Alligator mississippiensis: one gene and its partner. The protein of the gene in region 1 binds, or shares a complex with, the protein of each later gene. Links are inferred from orthologs where the notes say so. Each region holds a gene or a part of one and is shown on either strand. Other genes may lie near its edges.

Region 1 (14,945 bases):
ACCTGGTGCATCCCAGGTACTTTCCCTTCAGGATAGCTAGCCAGTCTGAAGGTAAGGCTTCGCTGTCTTAAGGAGTTTGGATACAAAAAGAACTGTTTTGACCAGCATCTTGACCTAAAACCCAGTCTTTTTTTTGGAGTTTGGAATACATGTTTCAAATTGTCTTTCATATCTGTTCCCTCTCCTGCTCTTAATTATTTTGAGACCAGTTGCTAAATTACCAAGTTAATCTTAAGAGTGTTTCTAGCTTTATCAGAAGCAGGAAGTACCAGAGAAGCTCATCACAAGAGAACCTTATTTGGGATCTTTTCCAATCCTGTCTTGCAGATCTATGGGAACAAATAAAAATTTAGAAAAGTATAAAAACTCCATCAGACCTCTCCTCTGTGGTTTGTCCATCCAGAATTTTCCATTTATCTGTTGGTGAAACTACATTTTAACTTTGGGCAGACCTCAAGAGAGAGGCTCAGTTCTGATAAGTGAGCTTATCTAGAGTGTTTACCAATCCATCTAGATTGAACCAGGCTGGAAATCACAGAAGGAGTGTTTTTTCCCAATACTTGCAGATCTTAAGATAAAAGTATAACTTATTGTAGGAAACAATGCTGTGTAGGGACAATACCATGTAGGGACTTCCCTGTACAACTCTGCAGCATGATATGGCCCTCTTGGACCTTCAAGGAAACAGCTGGGATAGAATTCAAGTCTTCCACTCCAGAAATACTCATCCTGACAGACTCTAGTTAGAGGAGTATCTCTATTACCAGTTAGAGCTGTGCAGGGCCTATGACATGCAACTGAGCAACTATGATTTTCTCCAATAGAGTTAAGTAGTATACATACCAAAAACATTAACCTGGTGGATACAGTTGTGTCATACCTGTTATTTTTTGGAACTTCTTGCTCTCTGGGTTGGAAATACTGCAAAAAAACTTTTCTTCATTTTATTTCCCTACACTTCTGCCCTAGACCTTGGCTGACTGCAGGGAGCACAATATAGAAGGAACTATGAATAAAAAGAGTAAAAGACTGCCAGAGCGTTTCCAGACCCCAAAGTAATTTCAGTATGGGTTCAGCATGGTCAATTCTTACTGTATCCAAACTAACTCTTTCTCCTTAGGACCAAATTCTCCTGAAAATTATTCCAGTTTTACTCTCCTTTAACATCAGTGGAATTACTTTGGCTTTACACTGGTGTGAAAGGAGACTTGGACTCTGATCTTAACAAACCAAAATACATTGAAGGAAGTTTTCTATAAAATACAATCAGTTATGTACCCATTGTCCTAGAGTTTGCAGGGTGGTTTGGAAGTGAATTTCCCTGCCTACACTAGAATTTAGACACTGTAGGACCCAAATCTCTCAGGCCTCATTAGGAATTGTATATAATTAATTCCTTGGTTAGGAATTGTATACAATTAATTCCTCAGTCTTGGGTAGAGTTCCTTCTTATTTACACTGAGGTAAGTGAGTGGAGATTTGGACTCTCCAATGTGTGGTTTGTATTATTACCTTGCAAATATAGCTTATTTCAAGTAACATAAAGCCCAATCTGTAAAAATACATTGTTCAATTTTCCAGTAACAGGTCATTCTCATGAACAAAACTCAAATTCAGCATCTTTCAGGTTTCTAATAGGCCATGTGAAAGAAGGTTAGAGATTGGGTATCAAAGCTTCTAGGGCACGAGCCAGTTCTTTCTGTCTAATATATTCACCCATGTCTCTAGTCTATGGTGGAGCAACACCCCGCTATCTTGTAATGTAGAAACGAGGGCTGGCGTGCCTCCTTGCATCCATCATGGAATGAGGGTCATCTGGGTTGACCACATCATTTGGATTGAATCGCATGGGCTCTCTGGGCAGGTGGGCGAAGTTACTTTGAAACCGTTGTGGCAGGGCCTGCACTGCAGAGATCTTTCTCTGGGGGATCAACATCTGGTGGGGGTCCATAGGATCAATATCTGCATTTCTAGTGTGCCTGTGGGGTTCAGGCGTGTTGAACCGGATTAGAGGGATCTCATTTCTCCTGGACAAAAACTGGGAATAAGGTGGTGGGTTCATACCAGGGAAAAAAACTTGCTTAGCTCTGCCTAGGCTGACCAAAAAGTGGTACTTGGGAGACTGGTACACGTCATATCCATTTTCCAGTGTCCTTTGTTTAAACACACAGTCCTCTTGATTGAAGTAATGCTTAAGAAACAAAAATAGGGCAAGTGTTAATGGTTCAGTGGGTTAACAAGTATCAGTAGGCAACAGGGGGACCAGTGGCTACATCTGGCAGTTCTCACTCTTATGAAGAGCTCCACTGGCTTCAACAGGCCCTTTCACATGAGAAAGAAGTGCAGAATTAGGCCCTTCAGGTTTTTTTAAAAAGGTCCTAGGGGCCAGTACAGCAAGTAAAAGTGCCTATCAGCCATCCTTGATGCTCATCAGAGCTGAGGAGGCTTGCTACCATCAAGGATGTACTCAGAGCATTGTAGGATTGGACTCTAATTTCTCTCCTCAGACCCTGGCTTTAAGTAGTAGCAAGCAAGTCTTAGTAAAATGTTAATCTGATAAGCACTCATAGTCCCTCCAAGTCTTTGAGGTTATATCTCTGTTCATATAAAATAACTTCTGTGAAGGTGTCAATGTCTTCCCAGACATACCCACAGATGACATGGATTTGGACCTGCCTGGGTTTATCCCATGGCAGCTCCCTTGGCTTTTGCAGAGAGTTGCGTTGGCACAACTGACACAAAAATTAAGTCTGTTAATATAACTAACTAAAAGCAACACAGTTATTCTAGACTAATGGCCAGGTCCTTGGCTGGTGTAAATATTTCAGATTAGTGACTGGAACAATGGAAATTTACACCAGAGAGGAGGTAGCCCCATAGCAGTTGGCAAGACTTGCTCTGCATTTCACTCGAGTCTCAGGAAGGTTAAAAATACTCACTGATCCAAAGATATTTCCTTGGATGTCCATGCAGAGGTAGCACCCGCTCTTGACACCGGTTATCACCACGTAGCCTGCATTTTCAGCTTTGATCATGAGAGCACCTGCAGAAAAAAAAAAGTATAGTGTCCAAAATCAGGGAAGGGTTTTGCCTTTCAACAAAGAATTAGCTGAAACTTTCTTTGCAACCTGTTTTCTTGGCACTTTAAAGTTTAGTTAATCACAGTTTTCCAAAGTGGCCTCTCTCTTTAATTTCAGGCCAGTGCAGCAAATACTTTTTTTCCTGTATTTTTATTTCAGTCCAATGAAGCATAGATAAATTATGAGTCTCTTTGCTTTGAACTAAGGTGCCCAAGTGCTACTTAAAACTATGTTTATGGGGTACCTGTGCTAAAAGTTGCAACAGTTTAAAAAAAAGTAAAATGTATCAAACATGGATGAGCTAAGTCTATGGGAGTTATATACAAATCACTAAAGCTATGTTTATTTCAAGGTCAATTTTTTCAAATTTACTTTTTTGCTCTCATGTGCTCAGGAAGAGCAGGTCTGACAATAAGGAGTGGGGGAAGGGACAGTAGGGGGTAGAAGCTGGCAAGGACAAAGGGGTTAGCTGATTCCCCCAAATTTATTTTCCGTGCTGTAGCTGTGAGAAGGGGACAAATTCAAGACAAACCTCCAATAATTATATTCTGTACCTGGACAATTATATAAAATTTATAAATGTTACATATTAGGATCTAATTATTGGAGGGTCATATTATAATCAGGGTTGTCTTATATTTGAGTAAATACAGGTAGCATTGTTCAGTTGTTCCAGTGCTTATTTTCTGATAAAAAGTCATAAATTAAGCAATAGATCTTTTATCCAAAAAGAAAATAAACTTTTATCTCTATTATCTACACATTATCAATCAGGAGATGTATGCTGCATTAATAAGTTGGAAAACAATCCTCAATATTCCTAGTAGGTTAACGTTTGAGTTGTGAAATGACCAGGGTGATTTTTAAGTGTCACGAAATGCATCTGAATATATGGCTTCGCACTTAGGGTAAGTTTTGAACAGCAAAAGAGGAGTCCCTTAATTATGCTAGAACAATAAATTACCTTGAGCCAATTTGTGAAACTTTTAGTCCCAGTGGAGATCAGTCACATATGAGAAGTCCCACAGAAGTCAATGGGAGTTAAAAGTTTACCCATCATAGCCTGGCTTTTGCAGATTCCATTATTTAATTTACAGTTGGACATACAATTATGCATTTCATATGCACAGGGATATTTCTCACACAGTGATCAAATGAATAGTTCCCAAGCTTTTCTCTCAAGCAGATATTCAAAGAAGGGAACAGTTGATGCACTTGCAAGTGAAAATTTATGCATGCAAACACATGGATGAAATTAGCCATCTTCCATTCACAACAGCAGGCTTTGTGGACACAATCTGCTTGCCTCTATTATTTGCACTTTCCTCAGAAAATGTAGTGGTTAGATTTATAAGCTGCTTTGGATGTGTCATTGTCCAACACAAATTTGAGTTGTGACAGGAAACCGGGGACATTCCTATAGAGAGAAGTTGCGTCTGGCAGTTTTTGACAGGTATCCTGCATTTATTACTTATAAAATGAAGACTGAAGGTCATGTCATTTGAATTGTTTTAAGCAGCTTTGTTCATTTGTTAAACAAAAGGACAGGGTTGTTTGAATCTATTCCAGGAGGTTTGTGGAACGCCAACATACCCATGACACACAACGTAACCATGCCTGTGTGCTTAAGTATATCAGTTTTTGATTATGGTGCATAGACTTTACATCAGGAAGGCAAATGTACATTACTGTTACATTTTTAAAACCCTGTATAAATCAGATTCAGCATTTAATATTTATGTTCATGAATGACCTATCATTTATCTCCTGGGTGACTCTCAGCAGTCTCCTGGAGATTTATATCTAATCCCTGGAGACTCCAGGGAAATCCTACAGGGTTGGCAACCCTACAAAAGGATAGTCTTTAACTAAATTCTATTTTCCTTTTATCTGGAGGGAAAATGCAAACGTTTAATTAACCATTGCTCTCCACGTGCGAGTACATCTCCCATACCTGGTCTCCAAATAATCTCAGTGCATTATTCAGCCTCCTTGCTCTAGCTCTCTTTCCTTTGTCTCACCTGAGGTAGGATGCTTCCCCAGACCCTGAAAGTAGAGAGTCTGTCCTGTTCAGGGGAGGTCTGTGTGTGTAACAAGCTACTTACTGTAAATGGTTTGGTGAGGGGTCCCATCCACATAACCATCAGGGTTGATTTGCAGATGAAAGCTGTTCTTCTCCGTAGACGTGTACAGGTGCATCAGACGATCTGTGCTTCCCCAGCTGGGATTCAGCAGTGGAGAGGAGTTGGGAAAGGCAGCTATAGCCTTCAAGCTGCACAGGACAAAGAGCATGAAGTCCAGGCGGCTGTACTGACTGGTCTGCAACATGGTGCTCTCTTCTTAGTGGCTGGTGCTGTGTCTGAAACACGATACTTTGCACTCCTTCTTTTCTGCCTCCTCTTTGTGTGTATTTGGAGTGTGAGTCCTCAGATGGGTTCCCAGCTTTTTAGCAGCCACTTATAAAGGGCAACCAAGTGACATCACACAGGAAAAGTTTGTTGTCCACATCCTCAATTTATTTATTTATTTTTGTCAGAGCAACATTTTAGGCAAGTCCTGAGACCCAGGGAAAGGCAGGTCCTCTGTGCAGTGGCGGGGGTGGGGGCCGGAAGGAATACATGGTTTTTAAAGACAGCCTTCAACAGTTAAATGTATGATTAGCTCTTATCTGCAACACTGACATCAGAAAGCTTCTTGCCCCCTGCTCTTCCCAAGAAATAAGGAAAGAGAAGTCATTATTGTACTGTATGACTCAAATGCTACAGTGTTCATTTCCCTTTTTGCCTCTGGGTTCAGATGTATTTTTCCCTATTTTTCTTGTCTGAGCTGACAAAACTACAGGGAACTTCCTAAAATGCATCCGATGTCCTCAACTCCCTCTCAAGTCAAAGTCAAGGCACTTTGCTGGATCAGGCCCACAGTTTGTTTCAAGAGACAAGTGTGCAAGTGCATGGGCTTGGCTCTGCTCTCATGTTGATGAAAATCAGCAGTTTACTGGCCCAGGGGAGCCATCTTTGGGCATTGATCTAGCAGCTGAGGGGAGAATCTGCCCTTTTAACATAAACTCTCCTTATTATTTCTTCCCTCTTAAGTTCTTCATTTTGAGCCATCTCCATAGCCTGATTTACAGTGACAAGGCAGCTGGAAGCGTCTAAAAGCACTTGGCAAGAGAATTTTGTTTATCCGTTCCTGCTTTGAGCACCGAGATGGCACTCCTTTTACAGATTCTTGGCCTGCCAAACAAACTAGCCCGGTGAATATGAGCTGAATCTGATCTATTTAACCCATGAGCACATTTAGGGCTGTATATACAGCAAGTATCTTCTCAAAGTCATAGAAGGGACATTGCCAAATTGAAGTAAAATCTTTAATAAAATGTCATTTTGGACACGAGATCAGTGGTGAAGCTGTCTTGCTGATTTTGATGCTGTTGCGATCATTTGGGGGTTTTTTTTCCCCTATTTCAAACTTTTCTTTCCTACCTTGCAATCAAAATAAATCATGCAAATAGGAAAGGAAACTGATAGCACAGAGAATCTGTGAATCTAGGTTATGCTAAAGTTGCTTTCAAAGACACAGAATAAAATGCAAGAATTGGTGGAAAAAAATAGATTTGTCTTTCTCATTTAGAGAAACCCAATTACGCTTTGTAACATGTACGTTTTCAAGCAGACACAGAGAAAGGTTCCCAGAATCTCCTTCCATCTGATGCACCAAATTCTTGGTTTCAGTTGATTAATCTGGAGCAATGCCATCAAAGTCAGTCAAATTATTTTAGCTTTATACCAGTATCATGGAATCTGTCCCAGTATGTTTTGCTGTTCAGTAACTATTTAAAACAAGCATCTTAGTGCCAAATCCTACTCAGACACACCTATGTAAATCTTGACTGATGCCACATCTGTGTACACACCTGTGTAAATGATAGCAAAATTCTGGCCCCAAATGTGCAATGTCGGGCCCCACAGTGGAGCAAATTGATGAAGCTCCATCGATCGATACCCACTGTGGAAATGCTTCCTAACGTTTCATACAAGGAGGTTTTAGGGTGTAGTGACCGCAGGGATTGATAATCTTTCCTTTCATTCAGGAATTCCATGTAGTGTGAGAATGGGCTGATCAGTGTTTTTATCTATGTTAGGATTGTTTGATGGGGAGCTCTTCAGGTTGCTATTAGAGCACAGGTATTTCCCCCTGCTCAACCACTCCCTGCTCTCCCCCCACCCAGTTGCTGCCCCATGTAGTTCAAGCCAGTGTCAGAGACGGTATCTAGCTCCAGACACTTCTCAGACAGGTGCAAGCAACCCTGGAGTAGGTGAATGTGTCTTCCCTCTGAGGGCACATCTGTATGGAAAAACACATGTGAGGAAGTTGTGCCCACAAATACACAGTGCTGTTTCACCCATCAGAAAGAGTGTGGCCACATCCTGTGACAGCTTTGCATTGCTATGTGACATGACACATCAGTCCAACTCTCAAGCTCACTAGTCCACTTGAAGTGATGTGCAGAGGTGGCTACACTCCTTCTGTCTTTGGAGGATGCACTATGTGGAGCAGTGCAACTTGGTTTAAGGGCCTGCTTCCTGGCTTAGTGAACTTCCTATGTAGGCATGGCTGTCTCCTAATTGCTGATAGTTAGAGATTGATTTACAACCTGTGGGGTAAAATTTTAAATCCTGGATAAAACTGTTCAGCACCTATTCTATGGTATGCTCTGCTTATCCACATAAGCATTAGGACTGTGCGAAGCTTTGGGTGGTGATTCGATTCGGAGGAGATTAGACCCGATTCAGTGGCCAAATCTCTGAATACAAATTGAATCAGGGGACTCATTTAAAGTTCCGAATCAATTCAAAGCTCTCCAAACCTTCGGCAAAGATTCGGAGAGGTTTAATGATTTGGGCAGTCCCTGGTGGCTCCAACAGGGAACTGCAGCCGCTTGGATCTAGTAAGTACTAGGGGCAGGGGAGGAGGGACTGGGGGATGTGGGAGAGGACCATGGGGGGGGACCCCTGCCAGCCCCCCCCCCCGGCCCCTGCCCACTCCCAGAGCACCCCCCCATTGCTGTTCCCCCCCCCCAAGCTCATACTTAAAAAAAAAAGTCCTGGTGCTCACCAGATGCTGCCGGGCAGGGGACAATTCCCACTGGCCCACACTGCATGGGGGACTCTGCACGAGCCCCCTCCACCCCCCCCCCCACAGCTGCCCCACCTGCCAGGGCTCTGGCCCTTTAAGAAAAAAAAAAAAGCTGAGAAAAGCCCTGGGACTCACCGCTCCTCATGCAGCCCGGGGGCTTCTGGGGCTCCTGCAGAGCCCCCACGTGGGTGGGGCAGTGGGGATCGCCCCCTGCCGGCAGCGGTGAGTCTTGGGGTTTCTTCAGGTTTTTTTTTCTTAAAGGGCCGGAGCTGGCCCATGCAGGGCATCTGTGAGGGGGCTGGGGGTTCGGGGGCTCATGCAGAGCACCCCACACAGCGGGGGGTAGCAGGGGGCAGCCGGGATTGCCCCCCCCCACCCAGCAGCACCTGTTGAACAGGGGCTTTTTTTCCCCCTGAGTGCTGAGAGCTAGGGCAGACAGGTGGCCATTGCTGGGCTGGGAGAGGGGTGGGGGGTGGGCCTGGCCTGGCTGATTTGGAGATTCTGCTGCTGCCGAATCTCTGAATCAGATTCGGCCGAACCAAATCAGGACAGTGATTCAAATCACCGAGTCGAATCATTTCCCCCCGAATCGGCCAAATCCGAAGTGAATGCCAACTGCTTCACACAGGCCTAATAAGCATCCAGTCACACCTTATAGGTTCACCTTCTTTGAAATAGAGCTAAATCACTGAGGAGAATTTGTTCAAGCTCCATCTTGGTGGATGGCAGATGTCCCTTTCCCTATGTGGCATAGGAGCAAAAGCCACTGCTGGGTATTTCAGTGCTCAACGTTTTGCAGAGGTTCCAATAGGGTCATTGCTGCCCCTGATTTTGCTGAACTGTGTTTGTTTAAGTCTTCAGGCTAAAGCAAATTTGCTTAAAATCTCAGCTTGTCAAACTCCTAGAGGGGAGTTGCTTTTTAAGGTTTTTGCTTTTTAAAACACTTCTTCTTTCTTTGAGTTTGAATTTGAGGTAGGTGCATGTTTGTAATTTATATATTTGTTTGTCTCCTCTTTTTTCTTTCCAGTTGAACCACATGCTCCATTGAATGTTGATATATGATTAGTTTGTGTGACATTTCATTTTGGTATATGAATTTATATTTTCTAGTCCTTTATGTGTGTTTGACAGAGGAATGGGGTGCATTCTCCATGGTGCCTTGAAGACCAAGCCATAGTCTGGGGAAAGACCAAGAGAGAGATTTTCCTCCCTGTACAGTGTTCAAAAAAATTGGCTCTGTTTCAAAGACTTCAAAAAATCGTGGCAGCTTCATAATGCCAGTATCATTACTGTGACTTTTATTTGCATTATCGTAGCATGGAACAGCCTCAACAAAGATTATGGCCCCACCGTGCTAACTCATTGTAATGGGTCATCCCTGTCCTGAGAGGCTTACACTCTACATGGACAAAAAAAGGGGTCATTGATTTTCTTTCCCTCCACGTGGCAGGCGGGAAGAGAGAAGCACAGAGGGATTAAGTAACTTGGCCAGGGTGGACTGAGAGCTCTGTGACAGACAGAGACTGAACCAAGAACTTCCAAGTCTGAGGCCAGAATCTCTAACCAGAAGACCATTTCTGGCCTCTCTGATTGTCCTGTGGTTAGTCAAATCAGGGTATGTCTAGACCGCGGCCACAGCAGTGGCTGCAGCTCAGGGTAAACACACCCAAGCCAGCTGTAAAGTCATCAGCTTGAGTATGGACAATGTAGCTGCAGCAGCCGAGAGCTCTCTGTGGGTTATCTGCCCAAGTACTTTGCTTCTTGGAGGCAGGTGCTGCAGCCCTTACTGGGCCCCATGCTGCTGCAGATATGCTGCTATCAGTACATGAGCTAGCTAGTTTTAAAGCTAGCTAGGGTATGCCTACATCATACTTGGCATGGACCACAGTCTAAATACACCTTTAGAGGTCTTGTGTAGAATATATCTCTTATGAATGTAAATATTTACTGAAACGGCAACATTGCTACTTTAATGTTGTATATATTTCATTTCATTTTGTTTTTCTCTTCCTGATCGTGCCATGTAATTACCCAAAAGGCTCTGGTAGCTTTTTGTAAGAAGAAGGGTGTTTGAGTTTGTGGTGTTTGAGTTTGTGGTTTTCCTTTTGCCCATGTAGAAAGAATCTTATGGTTTTCAGAATCTTCCTGTAGCGTTGTCCGACTTTCACCTCTCTTTCTACTTGCCAACTGCTGAGCTAGAAAACTGGTAGACCAAAAGACAGGCAGGAACTGAGGACTGGACTCAAATGACAATTCCTTTTTCCCTTCAGATATCTCAAGTAGTAGGAAGAGGAAAAGGGCTGCTAGCTTTAAAGTTATGACAATGAGGGACACTGGAATTTGTGGCTTCCTATAAGGCTTTTCTCCAGGATCCCCATCAATGGTTTGTGGAAGGTGGGACCTCCCTGAAGACTCCTATCACTTTTAGAATGACTCAGATGCCAATGTTTGCCTCCTCTCCTGGAAGCCTTAAAGCACAAAATAACTCTTAATCTCCCTGTTAGGTCAATTCTCTTTCTCATACTTAGGTTCAAGGGCCATTAATTCTGTGAGTTGATTTTTTTTTGGATCAGTAAAGTGAGTAGAATAGGTTCTGTTGGAATTTATGTTATCTAGTCAAAGGTACTTTATGATTCCAGTAATAGCAAGTATGGGTGTCCAAAAGGAAACCAGGATGTAACAGCTCTGGAAGAAAGAGAAGAATAGCGTGCTTTAAATGTATGAATCTTTCACCACCTATTTAAAATAGACCCGATTCAGTCCTTGAGTAAAAAGACAGTCCTCCCACTGAAATGAAAATGAGATACATCGGGGTTGAAATTGGCCAACTAGCTCTGAATCAGATGAGATCAAGTCATTTTGTCTGCATCCGTCTGTTATAACCTAAGAGTAAACACACTTGCTCTTAGGGTCAGCAAATCAGGATCAGATAAAATAAGAACTGACTCAGACTTTTGGCCAAGAGCTTGACCAACAGCTGTTTAGGGGTTTGATGACTTAATAATGAAAAACATTCTTTGTCTGATTGTCCACTTGATTGTCTGGCCCAGAGGCCTAATTACCATAGTGTCATGAGAAATATTGCTTGAGTGGTGTTTACAGACCTAGAGGCAGGAACATCAGAATCTGTGAGGGTCTGTGGTTTATATTGCAGTACTGGAGATACAATTAAGTAATGTAGGAACTAAGAAGGTATAAGCAGTAGGGAGCACAACCTTTATTTTCATTAAATATGAACTAATATTTGGTGTTTTGTTATGAAAATGCATTATATAGGATTAGTAGGGTTAGAGTGTTATTGTAGTTGTGATGGTCCAGGTAATGTATGAGAGTCAAGAATTTGTTGTGTTATCTTTGGACCAACTCTATAGTTGAGACAGCTGCTGGACAAGCTTTGGGGCATCAAGTGTTCTTCTTCAAGTCTAGGTTTGTTGGATGAAGAGGCCCATAAGCTCTATTTCACTGTGGGTGGATCCACACAAGTAAATACAAGTACCATTCTGCTGCAGAGTTTTTTACTCCATAGCACTGGACGTGTAGATGCCTCCCTAGCTGGCTGGAGCACAAGGGTGCTTCAGTGTGGGGGCTGCCTGCCAGCCAGAGCTGCTCCAACCCAGCTCAAACTGCTGTGCTCCCCGGCACACATTCAAACAGCAATAAACACCAGAGCAATAAAGTCTGGAGTTTATTGCTTCACATTAATTGCACATGTAAATGCACCCTGTTATTAGCAGGTGCATGTTTCCCTATCCAAAATACTGTTATGTTACCTACTCACAATAATTTACATATCCAATGTGTGTACGCTCATTCTCTCTCTCTCTGTCTCTCTGTCTCTCTCTCTCTCAGTGTCTCTCAGAATCCCTTCTTGACCCATACTCTCAAAGTCTGTCTTGTGCTTGTTCCCTTACTGCCCACATGTAATGGCACCCTTCTTCCGCACAGAGTGAGGACATATTTTCTGAGCCCATGGAGTCATTTTGGTTTCTGTAATCAGATTGCCCTCTCTCCTATTCTGTTGTTTCCCATCCGGGTGTGAGTCGCTCTGCTTTGGCTGGCACTTGCAAACCTTTTAGTAACCATAATTTGGGCATGTCACGCTGTGACATTTATTTCCTCTTGCTGGCCTTTAATGAAGACATTAACTAAGATTGGATGCAAGGCCAATATTTTATAACTCCTGTCACTCATTACTTGTTCTCCTTCTCTCACCACTTGCCACAGGGTTTGTCTAAATTACTTTAAATTCATGTTTTCCAAGTCACAATTTGTCAGCAACAGTGTAATTTCTTAGGCCCTGAGGGAGGAAGTATGGTTAGTGATGAGATTATTACTGCTCTTCTGACAGGCTGCCTTTGCTGCTGGGGTATTCAGGGAAGCTTAATATACTATACTACACATGACAGTTTTTTATTAATACTCAGCTTGTGGCAACATTTGGATGCTAGTCAGGTCGCCAACACATTGTGCTAGGTGATGTCCAGGCTTTAAACTATTTTTGTGGTGTATAATTCAATTCCTGTTAAGTGTCAAAAATTAGGTGAAGATGTACTGGCAAGTTGGGTAGATCCAACTATATTTAAGGCTATCTGATGCTTCCCGTTATAAGACCCTGATCAGATTTACTGTTGGATATTTCCACCCCCACTTACATCTTAATTGCTAGGTGAGCTCTTCCCTACCAGGTGTCGAAATGGTTATGAAACATGTCAACACACTGGACCAGGATTATGTAGTAACAATGGTGTTGAATGTGTAAGACCCAAGCCTCATTTGCTGCAGAAGTTGAAAAGGGTGCAATAAGGTCATTCTCACATTGTATTCGGCCTTGGTGAGGCCACAGCTGGAGTACTGCATCCAGTTTTGGGCTCCACAATTCAAAAAGGATGTGGGGAAGCTTGAGAGAGTTCAGAGGAGAGCCACACGCATGATCAGAGGTCAAACCTTATGAAGAGAGGCTGAGAGCCATGGGACTCTTCAGCCTGGAAAAGCGCAGGCTCAGGGGTGATCTGGTGGCCACCTATAAGTTTATCAGGGGTGCTCATCAGGATCTGGGGGAACATCTGTTCACCAGAGAACCCCAAGGGATGACAAGGTCAAAAGGTCACAAACTCCTCCATGATCTTTTCAGGCTGGACATAAGGAAGAACTTCTTTACTATCCGAGCCCCCAAGATTTGGAATAGACTGCTGCCGAAAGCGGTTCAAGCACCTACCCTGAACGCCTTCAAGAGTCATCTGGATGTTTATCTTGCTGGGACCCTGTGATCCCTGCGGACTTCCTGCCCCTGGGGCAGGGAGCTGGACTCGATGATCTTCCGAGGTCCCTTCCAGCCCTAATATCTATGAAATCTATGAAATGTATCACGGTATTTTAAGAGATGAAAGGATGGGCTCCTGGGTAAGGCAACTGAATGCTTTCCTGGAGAACTGGATTTCATGCCCCCTTCTGCTACAGAGTTCCTGTGTGTGAGGCTGGGAAAGTCATTCAAGCCAGTGTTTTTCATAATTGGCTGCTAATTTGTGTTTTTATTTTTTGGGTTCCTGACTTGTAATGCAGGAATCCGACTTGCAGATGTTCTGAGCTCTCACAGCTGCACCTGAAGTCCCTATAAACACTACTTTGAACATATAGAGCAGAGGTGTCAACAAGCTTATGTTGTCCATGAGCCAAGTCTGGACTACCGGGCTCCTTACAGGTCAGATAAGCCCCTGGGCATCTTCAACTGGGCATTTGTAACTGGTGAACATTTCACCTTTGTTTCTCTCTTCTTTAGTTATTCCTCATTAAAATAGGACTGTGATATCCCATTAGCTAACTGGGATGTTGTGAACATAAATTCATTCATTTCTGTAAATTAATGCCACAATGATGAGTGCCATAGAAAAGCCCATGAGGAAATGGATCATTTGTATTCAGTGCTGAATTTGAACAGCATGTAGTAAAATAAGGTGCTGGATCACAGGCTGGACCATGAAGATAAAACAAAATATGGAGTAGATGCTTGTTAAGTGAGCACAATCAGATTTCTGCACTGAATGAGGCAGGACTCCTGTGAGGAAAAAATAAGCTGTGATCATGTCATTAACAGACTATAATATACATGTGCAATGGAGCATGTGTGCATTAAAAATGTGTATATGTATTAAGGCCACACAGGCAATCTCAACCCTTGATGTTCCTGAATTTTGAGAGCTTCGTTTTTCTGCCTTTATGTTCTTTCAAGGTAGGTTTGGGATGCAGTATACAACTTAAAGTGACTTCTTTCTTTGTTACCTGCTAAAACCTGTGTGGTCAGCATGTGTGTTTTGCTCTTGGTGTGATTGCCAGTACTCCCTGTGTCTGTAGCTCTGTTGTTTCATTTGTTTAACAACTTCAATCAACTGTGGCATGAGTAACCATGAAATTGGATCTTGGAAGGTTTTTAAAAACAAACACACACAAAAAACTTTTGAGCAGACAATCTGTGGTTTGTCCTATCTGTTAAAGTGCACAAATGAAGATCTTTCATGTTCATAAAAGGATCATCTTCTAGAAATCTACCTGAAAGTAAAAATATATGTGCATCTCCCAGGTGTGTTAGTTTACCTAATTTGCAGTATCATTGCAGGGTTTTTTTCCCACATTAAACAATAGGTATAGCCTGTGCTCTCCCTATATGGTGTCCTACTGGGGATGGGGCAGAGGACTGAGCAATGGCCATTGTATCAATGCCAGTGCTGGTCACTC
Region 2 (14,775 bases), on another chromosome or scaffold:
GCCCCACCAAGCGCTGTGCCACTTGCAGCAGCGGCTGCTGGAGCCAGGGCTGGGGGCTGTGCCAGGCTGGTTCAGGCACGAGCCCTCAGGCTGCTGTGGGCCACTGGAGCCCCGTGCAGGTCGTCTGGGGTGGGGGGACCAGCTGCAGCTGCCTGCGTGGCAGGTCTTCCCCAGGGCTGGGATAGGAGACAGCCGGGAGCATGCTGGAGCTCCCTGACCTGCCTGCTCCTGCCAGGGGCCCGGGCAGCAGGCAAGGGGGTTGCCCACCCCCCTACCTTCCCTCCCTCAGCTGCAGCTGGGGCACGAGGAGGAAACCGGATCCTGGGGCTAAGGCCCCCGCGAAACCCAACCCCTGCCTGGTCCAGAGCTGAGCTCCGCTCGCTGCGGAGAAACCCTAAACCCTGCTGAGCCCTGTGCGCGGGGGCGAGGGACAGCTGCAACCCCCCCGCCGTGCCCACACTCCCTTCATGGCTGGCGGGAGCGGGGGCTGAGCCTGCCCGGCTCCAGGAGTGAGAGCAAGGGTCCGGGCAGGCACGGGCCCCTTCCCCTCCCCCCGGCCCGGCCTGGCCCTGGCAGTGGAGAAGCAGCCCCAGGCCCCTGGGCTGGGGGCTGCGCCCGGCAGGTGGGCAGGGAGAGCAGGGGGAGGGGAGCAGAGGCTCGTTCCCAGCCCTGGCCATGGCAGTTGCCAGATCGGTTTCAGGGCGACGCGGGCAGCGGCGTTCACGGTGGCTTAGCGGGGCAGCGGCTAATGCACAACAGCTGCATAGCTCTTTGTGCATGGGCCAGCCCTGCCCCCGCGCCAAGGAGGGGGCACAGGTGCACACGCAGCCGACACGCCTGGGCACCACATGCACATGCCTGGGTGCAGCCCCTGTCCCGAGCAGGGAGCGAGTGCCAGGACTGGGCAGCACTACACGCATGCAGCAGCCCTGGAGCCCAGCCCTTGCAGGGGCAGTGGGGGAGCGGGGGCAGCCCCACAGCAGGAAGGGGCAGCACATGGGGAGGGGGGAAACCAGGCTACAAGGCCCTTGAGGAGAAACCTTCATGCTGCCCCTTTGAGAGGGGCCTTGGGGTCAGGCCGTCCGGTGGCTGTGGCCCCAAAACCGCCAGCACGAGGGTCTTACTCCAAAAAATAATTTATCGAGGCTGCCGGACGCGCACAGATATAAATATCCTCTGGGACACAAAGAGGGGGCCTGGGCCCACCAGTGAGAGGAGAGGCACTGTAGAGTCCGTGGAGCGGGCAGGCAGCCCGCAGGGCCCGCATGCAGCTCCCCGGTGCCTGGCACTGCCCCACATGGACCCGCTCCCTCTGCTGTGCCCATGGGGACAGCCCAGGCAGGAAGCAGGGGCATCACGGGGCAGCCACGGAGAAGTCCTGTCCCTGGGGCAGCTGCTTGCAGTCCTCCTGGGAGCGCACCGGGCCCCAGCGCTGGGTGGCACCAACCACTGGGCCCTGGTGCTATCAGCAGCTCTGCCAGGTGCCTGCAGGGCCTCATGTCCGGGCACCGGGGTAGGTGAAGAGGCAGGGCGCCAGGGGCAGGGGATCGTGGGTGAAGACAGAGTCGTCAGAGGAGCAGGTGCTGGTGGTGTCCTCACAGGAGGGCGAGTACTGCTCGAAGGGCATGGACAGGTCCAGGTACTGCGGGAGAGACGGGCATAAATGCCCGGGTAGAGCTGCAGCCCCATTGCCCCCATCCCAGGGGCCGAGCTGGGACCATGTGCACTCGCCCGTGGCCAAGCAGGGTCCAGCCTGTGCCCCCGGGAAGCCGCCTGCACCTCCCGGCCCTACCTCCTCGGAGACAGCGGCCAAGATCTTGTCCAGCGCCTCCACCAGCTGCTTGAAGGTGGGGCGCTGCGAGGGCGCGGCATGCCAGCACTCCCGCATCAGCATGTACCTGCAGGGGGGAGCCATCAGCCTGCGGGTCCCACACCCCCGCTCCCGGCTGCAGGGGCACCCCCAGCCCCGGAGGTACTCACAGCTCGTGGGTGCAGTTGGCCGGCTTGTCCATGCGGTGCCCTTCGCGCAGGAGCTTGAAGAGCTCCTCCACGGGGATGCCGGGGTAGGGTGACCCGCCCAGCGTGAAGATCTCCCACATCAGGATGCCAAATGACCACCTGCAATGCCACCCGACGTCAGGGCTGGGGGAGGCCATGGCCGTGGCCCAGGTGCACCCCCCGGGTGCTTGCAGGGACTCTGTCTCTGAGGGCCATGCCTGACTGTCCATCCCGCAGCCTCCGAACCCACCCGCCTGGACAGGCACCCACCGCCTTTGGCCCCTACGGCCAGGGCAGTCCTGAGCACGCTGCCAGGCCTCGCCCGGCCCCATTGCTGCCCGCACCACAGCACTCACACGTCGCTCTGGTGCGTATACACGCGGTCAAACAGGGCCTCTGGCGCCATCCACTTCACTGGCAGGCGGCCCTACAGGGACAGGCAGACCTCAGCCCCGTGTGCCAGCGCTGCCTGCTCCCAGACCCCTCCCTGGCCCCCACGCTCACGTTGCTCGTCTTCTTGTAGTAGTCGATGTCGTGGACGTCGCGGGCCAGTCCAAAGTCAGCGATCTTCATCACGTTCTCCTCTGTCACCAGCACGTTGCGGGCGGCCAGGTCTCGGTGGATGCACTGCAGTGAGATGGGTCCTCAGAGCGGGGGGCACCAGAGCAGCACCTCTCCCTACCCCTACCCCTACCCCTGCACGGGACCAAAAGCCTCCCGCAAAGGGACAGGCCATAGCCCTGGCATCACGAGGGGCCTGGAGCCAGGCCTGGCAGCCCCCTGGTGCAGTGGGGAGCACCCAGGTGCTGTTCCCTGCCTCGTTGGGCAGCATGAGCATGGCGCCGGGCCCCACCCCACAGACCCACTGCCACCCCCGAGCCAGACCGGGCCTCACCCGCTTGGACTCCAGGTACTCCATGCCGCGGGCCACCTGGTAGACGCAGGACACGAGGTCCTTGAAGGAGAGCTGCTCGTCGGGGAGGCGGGCGGCATTGAAGGCGTAGTCGGGTGTGGGTGGGCGCCGGGCGCGCAGGAACTCCCGCAGGTTCCCCTTGGCGGCGAACTCCACGATGACATACAGTGGCCCTGTGCGGTGCGGGGGCACCCGTCAGTGCCGTGGCCAGACTGACTGCACAGCCCTGCCCCTCCCCACCCCATAGCGCTGAGAGCAGTTGCCTGTAGTGCTCTCCAGCCCCTGCACAGCAGTGCCCACACCAGGGGTGCGGCCCCCCAGCATGGCCGTGCCCCCAAGCCCCTCACCGTCCTGCGTGCAGACCCCCAGCAGGTTGATGATGTTCTTGTGCTTGTCCATCAGCTTCATCATCTCCATCTCTGAGATCAGGTCGGCCAAGTCCTTGTCCGTGGCGCTGTCTGGGGAGGTGTGAGAAGAGGGTCCCTGGGCTGGGGGCCTGGGCACAGCCTGAGCTCCCCATGTGCATGCACACACATACACACATGCACACGCATGTGCACACACAGGCACGCACCCCACAGGGCACCAGTACCTTTGAGCATCTTGACGGCCACTGTGACTGCTCTCTCGGGCTGGTCACGGTCGATGCCATAGGCCTCTGCCCGCACCACCTGCCCGAAGCAGCCTTCCCCCAGGGGCTTGCTGAGTGCCAGCCTGTGGGACAGAGCATGGGACTGAGCCCTGGACACAGCCCCAGACAGGGCACCCCTTTCCCCCACCCCGCGGCCCCCCATACTTGTCACGGGGGAACTCCCACATGGAGTCCAGGGGCAGCTCGAGCTCCAGGACGCCGGCCAGCATCGGGGTGCAGCTGGACGACAGGCGGGTGACGCGCATCAAGGACGTGCTGGACTTCCCCGAGGAGCTCGAGTCCAGCGAGAACTGCGGGGCAACCGTGGAGCCCATTACTGCCGGGCCTGGGGCGGGTGCAGGCCGGGGAGCCGGCAGGGCCCTGCCCTGCAGCCGGGCACTCACGCCCACCAGGTCCAGCCCTCCCCATGCCCACAGGGTGCCTGCACGCACCTGCCTCATGAGCGGGAACTTGGAGAGCTTGTGGACGGGCACGGGCTCCAGGGGCTGCTTGCTCGGCCGCGTCTGCATCCGGCACAGGACCATGATGACGGCCGCCATGACGACGGCCAGGGAGCCCGACGTGTAGATGATGATGTCGGTGTACTTGACCTCCGGGGCCTCCACCTCCCAGGCCCACTCCTCGTCTGGGCACAGCAAGCCTGCCGTCAGCCTGGGCTCCTGGGCCATGGCCGCGGCCTCCCTCCCCCAGCCCAGGCCGGCCCGTACCTGGGAGCACGGTGAGCCAGGCCGACTGGTGGGACAGGCCGATGGAGTTCCCAGCCAGGCAGGTGTACTCGCCAGCGTCCTCCATGGAGACGTTGCGCAGATACAGCACCTCAATCCCCGAGCTGTTGATGTCGGCAGTCTGGGGGGCAGCAGCGCCAGGGTCATCCCCCTCCAGAACAGGCCCCGGGTCCAGGGAAGTCTCCCCGGCCCCCAGCCCCCACCCCTCTCGCCTTGCTCAGAGGCAGGACGCAGCCCTGATTCTCCCAGGACCCCCAGCTCCACCTGTTCCCTGGTGCCCGGCTGCCTCCCACTGCTCCCCAGAGCCCTGCGTCATGTGGGCTCAGCTCCTCAGGGCACCACGGGGTCTGCCCAGCAGCAATCAGGCCTGGCCGGGTCCACATGATGCCCCCGCGCCCTCTCCTCTGGTACCTTGAGCACTTGGACGTAGGGGATGCCGTCGGGGCCGTAGCTGCTGCCGTTCAGCTTGATGTGCTTGAGCCACTGGATGTGGGGCTGGGCGTCGCTGTACACCTTGCAGAAGAACTCCACGTCGCTGCCTGCCTGGGCCGTGGTGTTGGCCGGCAGCCCGGCCTGCAGGATGGGCCTGTGCGGGGACCGCTCTGCCGGAAGTGGGGTGCGTCAGCCAACGGGGCTGCACCCGGCTGGGCCCTGCCCTCCTCTGGCACCTCGCCCATGGACCGGGGGCACCATGGCCTGGGAAACCTCTGCCCCACAGAACCAGAGGCCCCCAGTCAGCCCACCCATCTGTCCCTCCCCACGGGGCTGTGGATCCTCGGGCCCCCCCTGCCTGCCCGGTCCATCCCCGCCCGCCGGCCCGGCCCTGATAAGGAGCAGTGGGGGGGGGGGGGGTGCTGGTATGCTGGCTCCTTGCTTTGGACTTTACAACCCCGACGCTCCCAGAGGCCCTTTGAAGTTTGCAGAGGGATCAATGACCTCTTATCTCCCAGCTCCCAAGGGCAACAGCAAGGCCCTGATGCAGCGCCAGGAGCTGCACGGGAGGGGCCCAACTCAGGCAGCCCACGTAGGAGCAGAGCCTTCCCTGGGGGTCTGCGCCAGCTGAGAGGCCCCTTCCTTGCAGGCTTCCTGCTGGGGGAGGACCCCAGGATCAGCCCCCCGTGCTGCCGGCCAGCGGGCTCACCCAGCACGTCCAGCAGGTAGCTGTAGCGGATCCTGCCAAACTTGTTCTCCACCAGGCAGGTGTAGTTGCCGCGGTCGGAGGGCACCACGCTCTCCATGACCAGGCTCCAGTGCTGGTGCCGCAGCTGGGGGAGAGGACGGGACAGAGCACGGTGAGGGGCAGCTGGCACCTGGGCAGAGCTCTCTGCAGGGCACCCAGCTCCTGGCTGGTGCCTGGCCCGGCAGGGGGGTCGCTACCAGAGGACCTCTGCCACAGGCCCCTGGAGAAGGCAGGGGGCAGCCCCGCTCCCTCACCCGGATGCCGCCGATGCGATGCTCTCCCCGAAACTCATGCCCATTCTTCAGCCAGTGGATGCTGGGGCTGGGGCTCCCTGATGCCGGGCAGCGAAACTTGACGGTGTTGCCCGCGGGCACCGCGTACAGCTTCTTGTCCATGCGGTGGGGGTGCGTCCAGTAGGGCGCTGAGGATGACATGGGTGGCCGTGCCCATTAGCCATGGGGCCGGGACAGCTATGGAGCACGGGAACAGGGTGTGTGTGGGCGGGGGCGGCCAGCTCGCAGTGGGCTCTGCCAAGGCACACGGGTGCTTGGGGCTGCAACGCAGGGCAGGTGCAGGCACAGCTTGCAGGGAGGGGCACAGTGCATGCTCAGCTCTCCCAGGCCAGGGCCTGATCCAGCCGGCCGGCTCAGGGCAGCCACAGTGGAGTGCAAAGGGCCTGGGGGACCGTGTGGTGCTGCCAGGCTGCAGGCAATGGGGACTCCCTGCTCCACAGGGCCTGGGGCAGCCTGGCCACAGCACTGACCTCTGCGGAAGTGCAGGAGCTCCTCGCGCGAATCCCCCTGGGAGATATCCCCGTCCCCATCCTCATCGTCATCGCCTGACGCCAGGGAGTCTGGAACGAAGTGCCGCAGGGTGTCATGCTGCCGCCCGGCACGGGCAGTTTCCCAGCCCTTGCCAGCAGTGGGCACCGTGGAGCAGGGGCAGGAGGGATGGCGCTGCGGACCCCCTGCCCGGCGCCCGGCCCACGCAGCCCCCTGGTCCTCGCCGCCGGCCTCCAGCCGGAGCCGGAGCCGGACGCCCCGGGGCCCGGGCCACGCTGCCCAGCGCGGGGCAGCCAGCCCGGTGCCCGCAGCAGCTTCGCCTGCCCCAGAGCCTCTCCCCTGCGCTCTGCCTCGCGCCCCGGCGCGGCTGGGCCCGTGCCCGGAGCCTGTGCCCGTGGCTCCGCCAGCGGCCCCTCCCGCCCGGCCCGATCCCGCCACCTTCCCGCCCCCTCGAGCCCCTCGGTCCGGCCGGGGGAGTGGCGGGGGCACCGGCAGCCCGCAGCCTCCCCGGGCAGGGCAGGGCAGGGCAGGGCAGAGAGGGCTCCTCCGGTGCCCCCCGACCCAGGCTGTCTTCGCGGGGCCGCCCTGGCAGCAGCCAGGTCTCCCAGGCACCGGCCGCGCGGACCGCGCCACCCGCCGCCCGTGCGCCCCGCGGGCTGCCGCGCTCGGAGGGAGCGCGGAGCCCAGGCGCCCGTCCGCGCCCCGCACACGCGCCCCGCGCCCACCTGGCTCCGCGGGCGGGTCCTCGGGCCCGGCCCCGGCCGCCCGAGCCCCGGCTGCCAGCGCGGCCAGGAGCCCCAGCAGGGCGCACACGCCGGGCTGCATCGTCCCGCGCCCGCGCCCCGCACCGCACCGCCCCGCACCGCGCGGCCAGAGGCAGCCGGTCCCCGCCCCGGCCCGCCCCGGCCGCACGGCCCGCCCCGTCCCGCCCCGCGGGGGCTCCGGCGGGCAGCTGCCGGCAGGGAAGGGTTAATGTTTAACCGGGTGACGAAGGGCTGCGGGGCCGCCCCGAGCCCGGGCAAAGTCCGGCCCGCGCCTCCCTCCCCCCGCGAGGCTGAAGTCGGACGCTCATTCCCGCGGGCTATTACTTTACATACGAAGTAGTGCGTCTGCACGGCGAGCGACGCGCGCTCTCGCTGTAATTCATTAACACCAGGCTTTTATCGGGTCTAGATTAGCGCTGCCAAAGCAGCCGGGAATAAGGAGCGGGGACTAGGCAACCAACTTCACTCGTCCCTCCCCGGCCGGGCTCTCGCTGCTCCGGGCCAGCCCGACCCGAGCCCGCTTCCCCCGCAGGGCCCGGGCAGGTCACCCTGCCCCCGCCCCGGCCGGCAGAGGGGAGCGGGCGGCGGGGCCAGTTAAGCTTTGACCCCGCAGCCGGGGCTGGGGGCGCGGGCGGCCGCTGCCGTGGGGGCACCCGGGCCTGGCCCTGCCTCTGCCCCCGGTAGACAGCGGGCCCCGGGCTGCGGCCGGGGGACCCTCCCCGCGGAGCAGCCAGAGTCCACGGGCACAGCCCGGGCAGGTCTGGGGCAGCGGGCACGGCCCCATCCTGGCTGTGGAGGGCTGGCGGGGCCCGGCGGCTCACTGCAGACTGCAATGCCGCAGGGGCTGGCACGACTCGGCTCGGCTCGGGCGGGCCAGACCCCAGTGCCCCACGGCCCCGACCTGGGGGCTCTGCAGGCCCTCCGCCCCGACCCACAGCCGCTTGCTGTCTGCAGAGGGGCAGCCGGGGCCATGAAGCCCCCTCCTGCCCAGGCAGGAGGAGACCCCTTCACTGCGGGTGCCCGTAGGCCGGGAGGGCAGCTGCCCGGGCCAGGGGCTGCATTGCCGCTGCCTAGGCCAGCTGCAGGCTCCGAGTGGCAGCCTCATGCAGCGGTGCTGGCCCCGGCAGCGGGCTCGGCTGGCACCGCTCCCTAGCAGGGCCGGCAGCCTGCCCTGCCCTTCCTTCCTCCCCCAGGCAACGGCCTGGCCCTGCTGCTGCCCCGGGGCTGCCACCTGGCGGCAGCCGCTGCCCCCGCTCCTAGGGACCAGCCTACAGCCCTCTGCCAGGCCCCGGGTGGCACAGTCCCTGCCTCCTTCCCGGGCCAGCAGCCCATATTGTGGGTGAGAGGCCGGGTGCTGCAGGCAAGGCTGCTTTCCCCTGGGGATGCCCCTGCTAGGCCTGGGCCGCAAGGCCCCAGGGGTCAGCCTGCTTCAGGGGATGCCCAGGTTTGTCTGTGCCCATGTGCGGGCTAGGTGCAGCAGGCAGAGCCCAGTGCTGACCTACCCCCTACTGCACCTGCAGCCCCACGCAGGGGAGAGGGGGCCGGGTGGCCTCATGCTCAGGCTGGCACCTTGTAGTGAGCATGAGCAGGCTCCGAGTCCTGGCCTGCAGCATCTCAGGGCTGTGGAAATGTCTTCACCTTGGTGGGGCTGACAGCAGGACCCAGCTTTGGCCTGCCAGCTGTGTCTGCCCCTGCTCTTCCAAGGCTTGGCTGTGGGAGTCACCCCAAAAATGCAGGCAGCTGGTTTTCCACCCAGCATAGCAGTAGTCCCTGGCTGTCCCTCAGGCAAGGCCATACAGGGCAATCAACACGCCCTGGCTGTGCCCAGTGCCGCAAACACACACACGCAGCTTGTAACAAACAGGCTCTATTCTGAGAACTGATGCCTGGGGACGTGGACACGGCGGGTGGCCTCCAAGGAGGTGGAACAGAGCAGTGGGGACACGTGGAGTGAGGTGCACAGCCTGTGGCAGAGCCTAGGCCCTTGCAGGGTGCCAGGAGCACAGCTGAGATGGGAGCTATGGGCTAGGGCATAGCCTGCCACACATCAGTGCTCTCTCTGGGTCAGCAGCACCTAATGCATTGGGTTGTGAGGGCTCAAGGGCTCCTGGGGAAGGTGCCAAGCCCAGACACCAGACACATGGCAAGGCTCAGAGCAGCAGGCGCCTGCACAGGGGAGGGAAGCAGGTGCCAAGGGAGAGGGTGGATACCTGCTCTGTGATGGTGGAGGGCACCAGCGCAGCCAGAGGCAGCATCCAGCTCCAGCCCCTGCCTGGGGCCTTCACTGCAAGGGCACAGCCAGTGCCAATGTCATGATCAGGCCCCATCCAGGCCAGGCACAGCAGCATGCAGGTGTGTCTGGACTGCCGCTTGCTTTGCCCGCTCAGCTGTCACACCCCTCGCCTGTGCTGGGTAAGCCGGAGCCCAGAGGCATGTCTTCCTCCTTAGCAGGGGGCTTCCTGCCAAGCAGGGGAAGCAGCATCACGCACCTGTACGGTTGAGGCTGCCCCAGGACCCACAGTCCAGGCCTCATGAGACAGGGAGCAGCAGGGAGGAGCCGTGGCCCTTCATGACCTGCCTGCTCAGCTCAGCCTGGCGCAGGCACTGCCCTGGCAGGGAGGGGGATACCACAGGGAGAGGACGAGGCGCATACAAACTGGATTCAAAATGCAACGAGGGGGCTGTGCTGCCCACTCTTCCTGCAGGGGCCTCCTCCAGCAGAGCCCTGCCCTGCCAGCAGCTGGAGGGGCATGCACAGAGCGCGGAGAGCACTGGCGGAGAAGGCTGGGCCACCCCCGAACTTCCAAGTTGGGAGGGCAGCAAGTATGCAGCAACCTCCAGAGCCAGGCAGCTCCATCGCTGCACCCAGGGGTTGCACAGCACGTGCTGCAACTGGGGGTGACGGGTCAGGGCTCCAGGATGCCGACAGCATCCCAGCAGCAGGGAAGGGCTGGACAAGCGCAGCCCTGAAAGGCTGGGTCCGTATGTGCTGCCAAGGGTGCAATCCAGTGGCCCCTGGGCACAGCTCCCGGAGCCTTGGCCCAGGCGGCTGCTTGGCAGACACAGGAACTTGCTGCGGCGTTGTAGGGGTTGGGAGGGGACCGGAGACAGGCTGTTCGCAGCTGAAACCCTCCTGGCCCAAAAGCCCCTTGCCTCCTTCCCCTCCCCAAGAAGAAATGCCAAGCGCTGGCTAGACAGACTAAGGGCTGAGTTAGGCTGTCTGGAGTCTGCTTCGGCAAGCCCCTCTCCCAAGCCATGGGCAGCGCAGGTTCTGCTCGCCAGGTCCTGCCCATCCTGGGGACAAGGAAATCGTTGTGGGCTGGCAAAGGATGTTTGTTCTTGGAGCACCAGTTGGGCCCAGGGCAGCTCTGCAGCCGGCTCTAGAAGTCTTGGCTGAAGTAGCTGTAGCCCCCCGGGCTGGTCGACTCTTCCCGGACGTACTGCTGCCTCGGGAACCGGCCCACGACTGGCACCGCTCCTGGCATCCTGCAGGTTGGAGGCAGGGAGAAAACGGCATGTCAGAACTGTCCGGAGTCCATTGCTAACCGCTGCGTGCACGCTGTCGTCACAGAACATGCCACATGGGCACGCGTGTGGAACTCATGGACTGCAACAGCTTTCAGTGACCTGCTGCCACCTCCATGGCAGATCCACCTGAGCTCTGAGTGGCGCCACCGGCCCCCGGTAAGTAAGCAGGCCTGTCAAGCACGACTCGTGTTGGGGTTCTCTTCTGGGTCAGGCTGGAGTCCAGCGCATACTGCACCGAGGGCCAGGCCCCCAAAACTGCTTCAGCAAGCACAAGCTTGGCTGCAAGATGTGGAAAGCTTCATTTGTGCCCACAGGTACTGCGGGCTGCTCAGAGCTCAGCTCCCTGCTCCCAGAATTGCTCTAGAAGGGGCTGGCATGGCTCGGCATGGCCAGAGCAAGGCTCCAGCGTGGGCAGACACCATCGCGGGGCCAGGCATTGCACTGTTAGTTAAGCAGCAAGCAAGGCAGACAGTGTCTGTGTGTGTAGGGATGCAGGTTGTCAGGCACTGGGGGTGGGGGGGTCCTGACTCAGGCATTTTCTTGGCGCACACATGGCTCTGCAAAGCAAGTGACCTCCGCCATCGAGGTTGCACAGCCCACAGCTCAGAACAGATGTTGGGAGGTTCTGGCGTCCTTCCAGCCTGCTGGGACAGGAGGGTGCTGCACGTGCAAAACCACCATGGGACCAGGGAAAGAAAAGGTCAATCGTTTCCCTGTCTTGGGTTACTCTGGGTCACCAGGCTGGGCACACACTCTTACCCAACTGATCTAGGCTCTGGAGAATGAGGCCCCAACCTCAGCCAGGTCCAGTCCAGCTGTTTCTGGGGCAACACCAAAAGTGCACCTTCACCTCACAGGTCAGCAACAGAGCAACCCAGTGGCAGGCTCCTGGAGAGACACAGCCTTAGGCTCTACTAGACTTCGGCCTGCTGCCTGCGCCTGTGGGGCATGTTGACACCAGAGAGGGGAGCAGGACAAGTGGTGCAAAGAGCTGGAGCTGCAGCCCCAGCCCCAGCTTGCATCTGTGCTGCAGCAGAACTGCAGCTCCACGACAGTGAGGCTGCGCTGGTCCCTGCAGGCTCTGCTAACACGGTCTGGCTTTGACATCGCCTCTGTCCCCATTCCCAGTTGGCTGCTTGGTGGTTTTAGGGCAGGGCTGGCAAACAGTGCTTTCATGTGGCATCCCGGGCTGCTTGAACTGCATGGACTGAGCACAGAGCAGTGCCAGGGATCACAGCTTGAGAACAGCAGAGCTGACTGGCAGGGACAGGATCATATGGGTCACAATCCCAGTGAAACAGTACCACAAGCCAACGGCATGAATGAAACAGCACTGTGACTCCTGCCCCTGGAATGGCCCCGACACCACAGGTCACTTACTGGTTCTTGTGTTTGAAGCCACTGATGTGAGCCTGGTACTGCTCTATAGAGTTGAGCACGATGTTACAGGTGCTGCAGGGGTACCCCTTCCCAGCTGAAACAGACAGCAATGTTAGTGCACGTGCTAGCCGACAGCGTGGGGCCTCAGGTAAAGAGGTGAGAGAAGCAGTCGCTTGACTTGCTAATTAAACAGCTGCTAAACAAAAAGAAGCACCAAGGAAAGGCCCGGCATTCTGCCCAGCCAAGGGCCTCACAGGCCTGTACTCTGCCCCCTGCTCCCACTGAGCCTCCATATGGGCCAGGAGGTCAGCCAAGGCAGCTGAGCAGCCTGCACCTCAGCTATGAGATGCCACCATTATGGCAACGCAGCTGAGCTCAGGCTCCTTCCGCGAGCTCCGAGCACTCGCAAGCCAGCCTGATCGTGCCCTGCCTCCACAGGTCCCTGCTCTCTAAATCCTCCATCTGCCCTCCTGACTCGTGCACCTTCCTACCAGAGCAGAGGAAGTCACACACGTATCGCTCGAAGCGCCTGGGCAGGCAGCTGCTGAAGAGGAAACGTAACAGCAGGCTGCGACACATCTCCCACTTGCATCGGTGCTCATCTGGAGCGATGAGCTCTGCCCTCTGGCATGTCAACAGCAGTCCATGCTCTCTGCAACCATCCCTGCTTCTCCAGCACCACTGCCCCAGAGATCCTCACCCTGAGTGACATGGCAGCTCCAGCTGGACAGAGCTCTGGTGGGCATGCACTGAACCTCAGTGGGGCTCACTGGCAGAGCTGGCACATGGGACCGCTGCAGACAGTCAACAAGAGGCAAGACGGGCCCCAGCTATTCCCAGCTCTCGGAGTCAGAATGCATGTTCTTTCCGTGTGCACGTAGGGGGACACATGGGATGCAGCAGATGATCCCATCTGGCTGCTGCACTTCAGAGGGCTCAGACTCCTCCGGGCCATTTCACCCTGACAACCGTGGTCCAGCATCTGATCTGAAAGGCCAGAGGGGCACCAGGGTGATCCAGCCTGGCCTTCTGTGACCCATGTTGGACGGTCACTTTTAGATAGCTATATCCCCGTCTCCAAAATCCTGCCTGCAGTGCTCGATATGATGCAAGCTGCATACGTGGGGCACCCTGTGGGAGATCGCTGTTGCACTAGAGAGCTATACCCCATACCCCAGCACCTGGCAGGGACAGAGGGCAAGGAACCCAGCTCCATCTTCACCTGAACTGTAACAGACTGCAACACTAACCCAGGGTTCAATAGAAGCAAAGAAGCAGGCGTCAGCCCAGGAAACCCCTTGACTGCCCAGCTGTTCCCCACCCGAGAGCCCTAGAGCACCTCCCACATTGCACACAGGAGGGAGAGGGAATGCTGCCCTGTGTAAAAGACACCCATCACTCGCTAGTGCTGTCAGTGCCTCAAAAGGTGCCCTGGAAACTATTTGCCACCCTGCTTGGACCATTTGTGTCTCTTTAGGATGGAGAAGGGACCCAAGGGGGTTTCTCTAGATCAGTGATTCCCAACGTGGTGCCCGTGGGCGCCATGGATAAAACTTCAAAAGAATACAAAGTAAAGGGAAGCTGCATTTTGAAGTTGAGGATCTGATGCAATTTTAAGTAACGGATTGATCTAAATTCTAAACTTTAATATTCATATTGGCGCCCGCTGCTTTTGCTTTTAAATTTGAATGTACCCTTGAGCACACAAACGTTGGGAACTCCTGCTCTCGATGGACTTTCCTGCTTGCTTTTCCCTTGCAGCTCAAGCTGTGATGTCTCTGGCAGAACGGCAGAGCAGCAGGGGCCCAAGAGTTTACTGCCAGCTTTTACCAGCTCCACTGGTCCCTCACAACCTTCTTCCCTCACGCTGGGCACTTTAAGGGAAAGAAGCACTCAGAGGATTGTCAGCTGGCTGAGGAAAGTGCCTCAACTGTAACTGAGCGTCACCTGCGGGCCATGACTGCACGAGCGGGCCACTGGTGGTGGAACTGCCAGCGCAAAGCGGGGCAGAAAGCACTCTGTAAACCCGTCCCTCCATGCAGGTCAGAGCGGCAAGGGGTACACGAGCCTAGGTTTCCCTCCTCTCACAGGTCACCTCCCTGGGGTCTCCTTCCAGCAGCAAGTGCCATCTTCACAGCTGGCACTGGGAACGGTCCCCTCAACTGGGAGCTCAGTGCACTGAGGGGCTCAGGTTACCCATGCAGGCAAGGGAAATAGGCATCGAAATGGACAACCTGAAAAACAGCCTCCAACTGAGGCTTACGTCAGGCACAAACCCCAGCAGCAAGAGGGGTTTTAATGGAACCACCAGGCAATCCTACTCCCTGTGCAAGGCAGGTCTTTCTCCAGGCCTTGCTGTCCCCAGCCTGCCCACAGGTCCCCACCCCCACCTGGCACAGGCGCGGCTGGCAAGGACTCACCAGCAGAGGTGGCGGCAGGAGCATCGGGGGTACGGCCGTAGTGCGCCATCAGCTTGAGTTTGGTCTCCTGCTTCCTGTGCTTCTTGCCTGTGTAGTGCTGCTTGGCCATGAGTGGGTTGTTGAAGGTAGCGTGACAGAGGCTGCAGAACTTGTCTGGGTCGGCCGTGCACTTGGTCTCCTCGTTAGAGGGCACCGCGGCAGGAGGGAGCTGAGCGGGGCGTTTCTGTGAAGGTGCAGCCGCTGGGGAGCAAAGCCCAGCCCTGTCAGCGATGGCTGGCACAGCCCCCGCGCCACACCAGGCAGTACCCACGGGCGCTGCTACCGGGGCAGGCAACGCCCACAGCGCGGCTCGGACCAGTCTCCGTACAGGGGTCGCTCGCCTCCTCCTCTCACCCCCGTCACACTCGCACGGCAACTGTGCCCCTTAGCGTCG

Evidence for each region.
Region 2: the proteins of FGF23 (region 1) and FGFR4 are in contact, whole or in part, in a cryo-EM structure (PDB 7YSW), measured with the Homo sapiens proteins. The link is inferred for Alligator mississippiensis from reciprocal best matches to the Homo sapiens genes FGF23 and FGFR4. Residues at the interface, in NP_065689.1 of Homo sapiens: Leu32, Gly33, Ser35, Trp36, Gly37, Tyr43, Ala45, Thr46, Ala47, Arg48, Asn49, Ser50, Ile75, Arg76, Ser77, Glu78, Asp79, Ala80, Gly81, Val83, Val84, Tyr93, His117, Gln118, Thr119, Asn122, Gly123, Tyr124, Asp125, Leu158; in NP_001341913.1 of Homo sapiens: Glu156, Lys157, Lys158, Leu159, His160, Ala161, Val162, Pro163, Asn166, Asp240, Leu242, Glu243, Arg244, Ser245, Pro246, Lys272, Val273, Tyr274, Ser275, Asp276, Ala277, Gln278, Pro279, His280, Ala308, Asp309, Ile310, Ser312, Gly336, Asn337.

What each region holds. Positions count from the first base shown.
Region 1 is NC_081827.1:142,543,688-142,558,632, forward strand, and holds the start of FGF23 (fibroblast growth factor 23), read right to left. Parts: upstream 5,617-14,945; 5' UTR 5,409-5,616; coding exon 5,186-5,408; intron 3,044-5,185; coding exon 2,940-3,043; intron 2,192-2,939; coding exon 1,751-2,191; 3' UTR 1-1,750. UniProt on the Homo sapiens protein: Regulator of phosphate homeostasis. Inhibits renal tubular phosphate transport by reducing SLC34A1 levels. Up-regulates EGR1 expression in the presence of KL. Acts directly on the parathyroid to decrease PTH secretion. Regulator of vitamin-D metabolism.
Region 2 is NC_081832.1:79,310,531-79,325,305, reverse strand, and holds FGFR4 (fibroblast growth factor receptor 4), read right to left. Parts: upstream 7,118-14,775; 5' UTR 7,076-7,117; coding exon 6,976-7,075; intron 6,322-6,975; coding exon 6,232-6,321; intron 5,890-6,231; coding exon 5,723-5,889; intron 5,554-5,722; coding exon 5,430-5,553; intron 4,891-5,429; coding exon 4,700-4,890; intron 4,410-4,699; coding exon 4,271-4,409; intron 4,189-4,270; coding exon 3,995-4,188; intron 3,854-3,994; coding exon 3,708-3,853; intron 3,626-3,707; coding exon 3,504-3,625; intron 3,370-3,503; coding exon 3,259-3,369; intron 3,085-3,258; coding exon 2,894-3,084; intron 2,626-2,893; coding exon 2,503-2,625; intron 2,426-2,502; coding exon 2,355-2,425; intron 2,119-2,354; coding exon 1,981-2,118; intron 1,899-1,980; coding exon 1,793-1,898; intron 1,643-1,792; coding exon 1,496-1,642; 3' UTR 1,121-1,495; downstream 1-1,120. Other genes in the region: ZNF346 (zinc finger protein 346), read right to left, coding at 10,395-10,500, 11,923-12,016, 14,343-14,582. UniProt on the Homo sapiens protein: Tyrosine-protein kinase that acts as a cell-surface receptor for fibroblast growth factors and plays a role in the regulation of cell proliferation, differentiation and migration, and in regulation of lipid metabolism, bile acid biosynthesis, glucose uptake, vitamin D metabolism and phosphate homeostasis.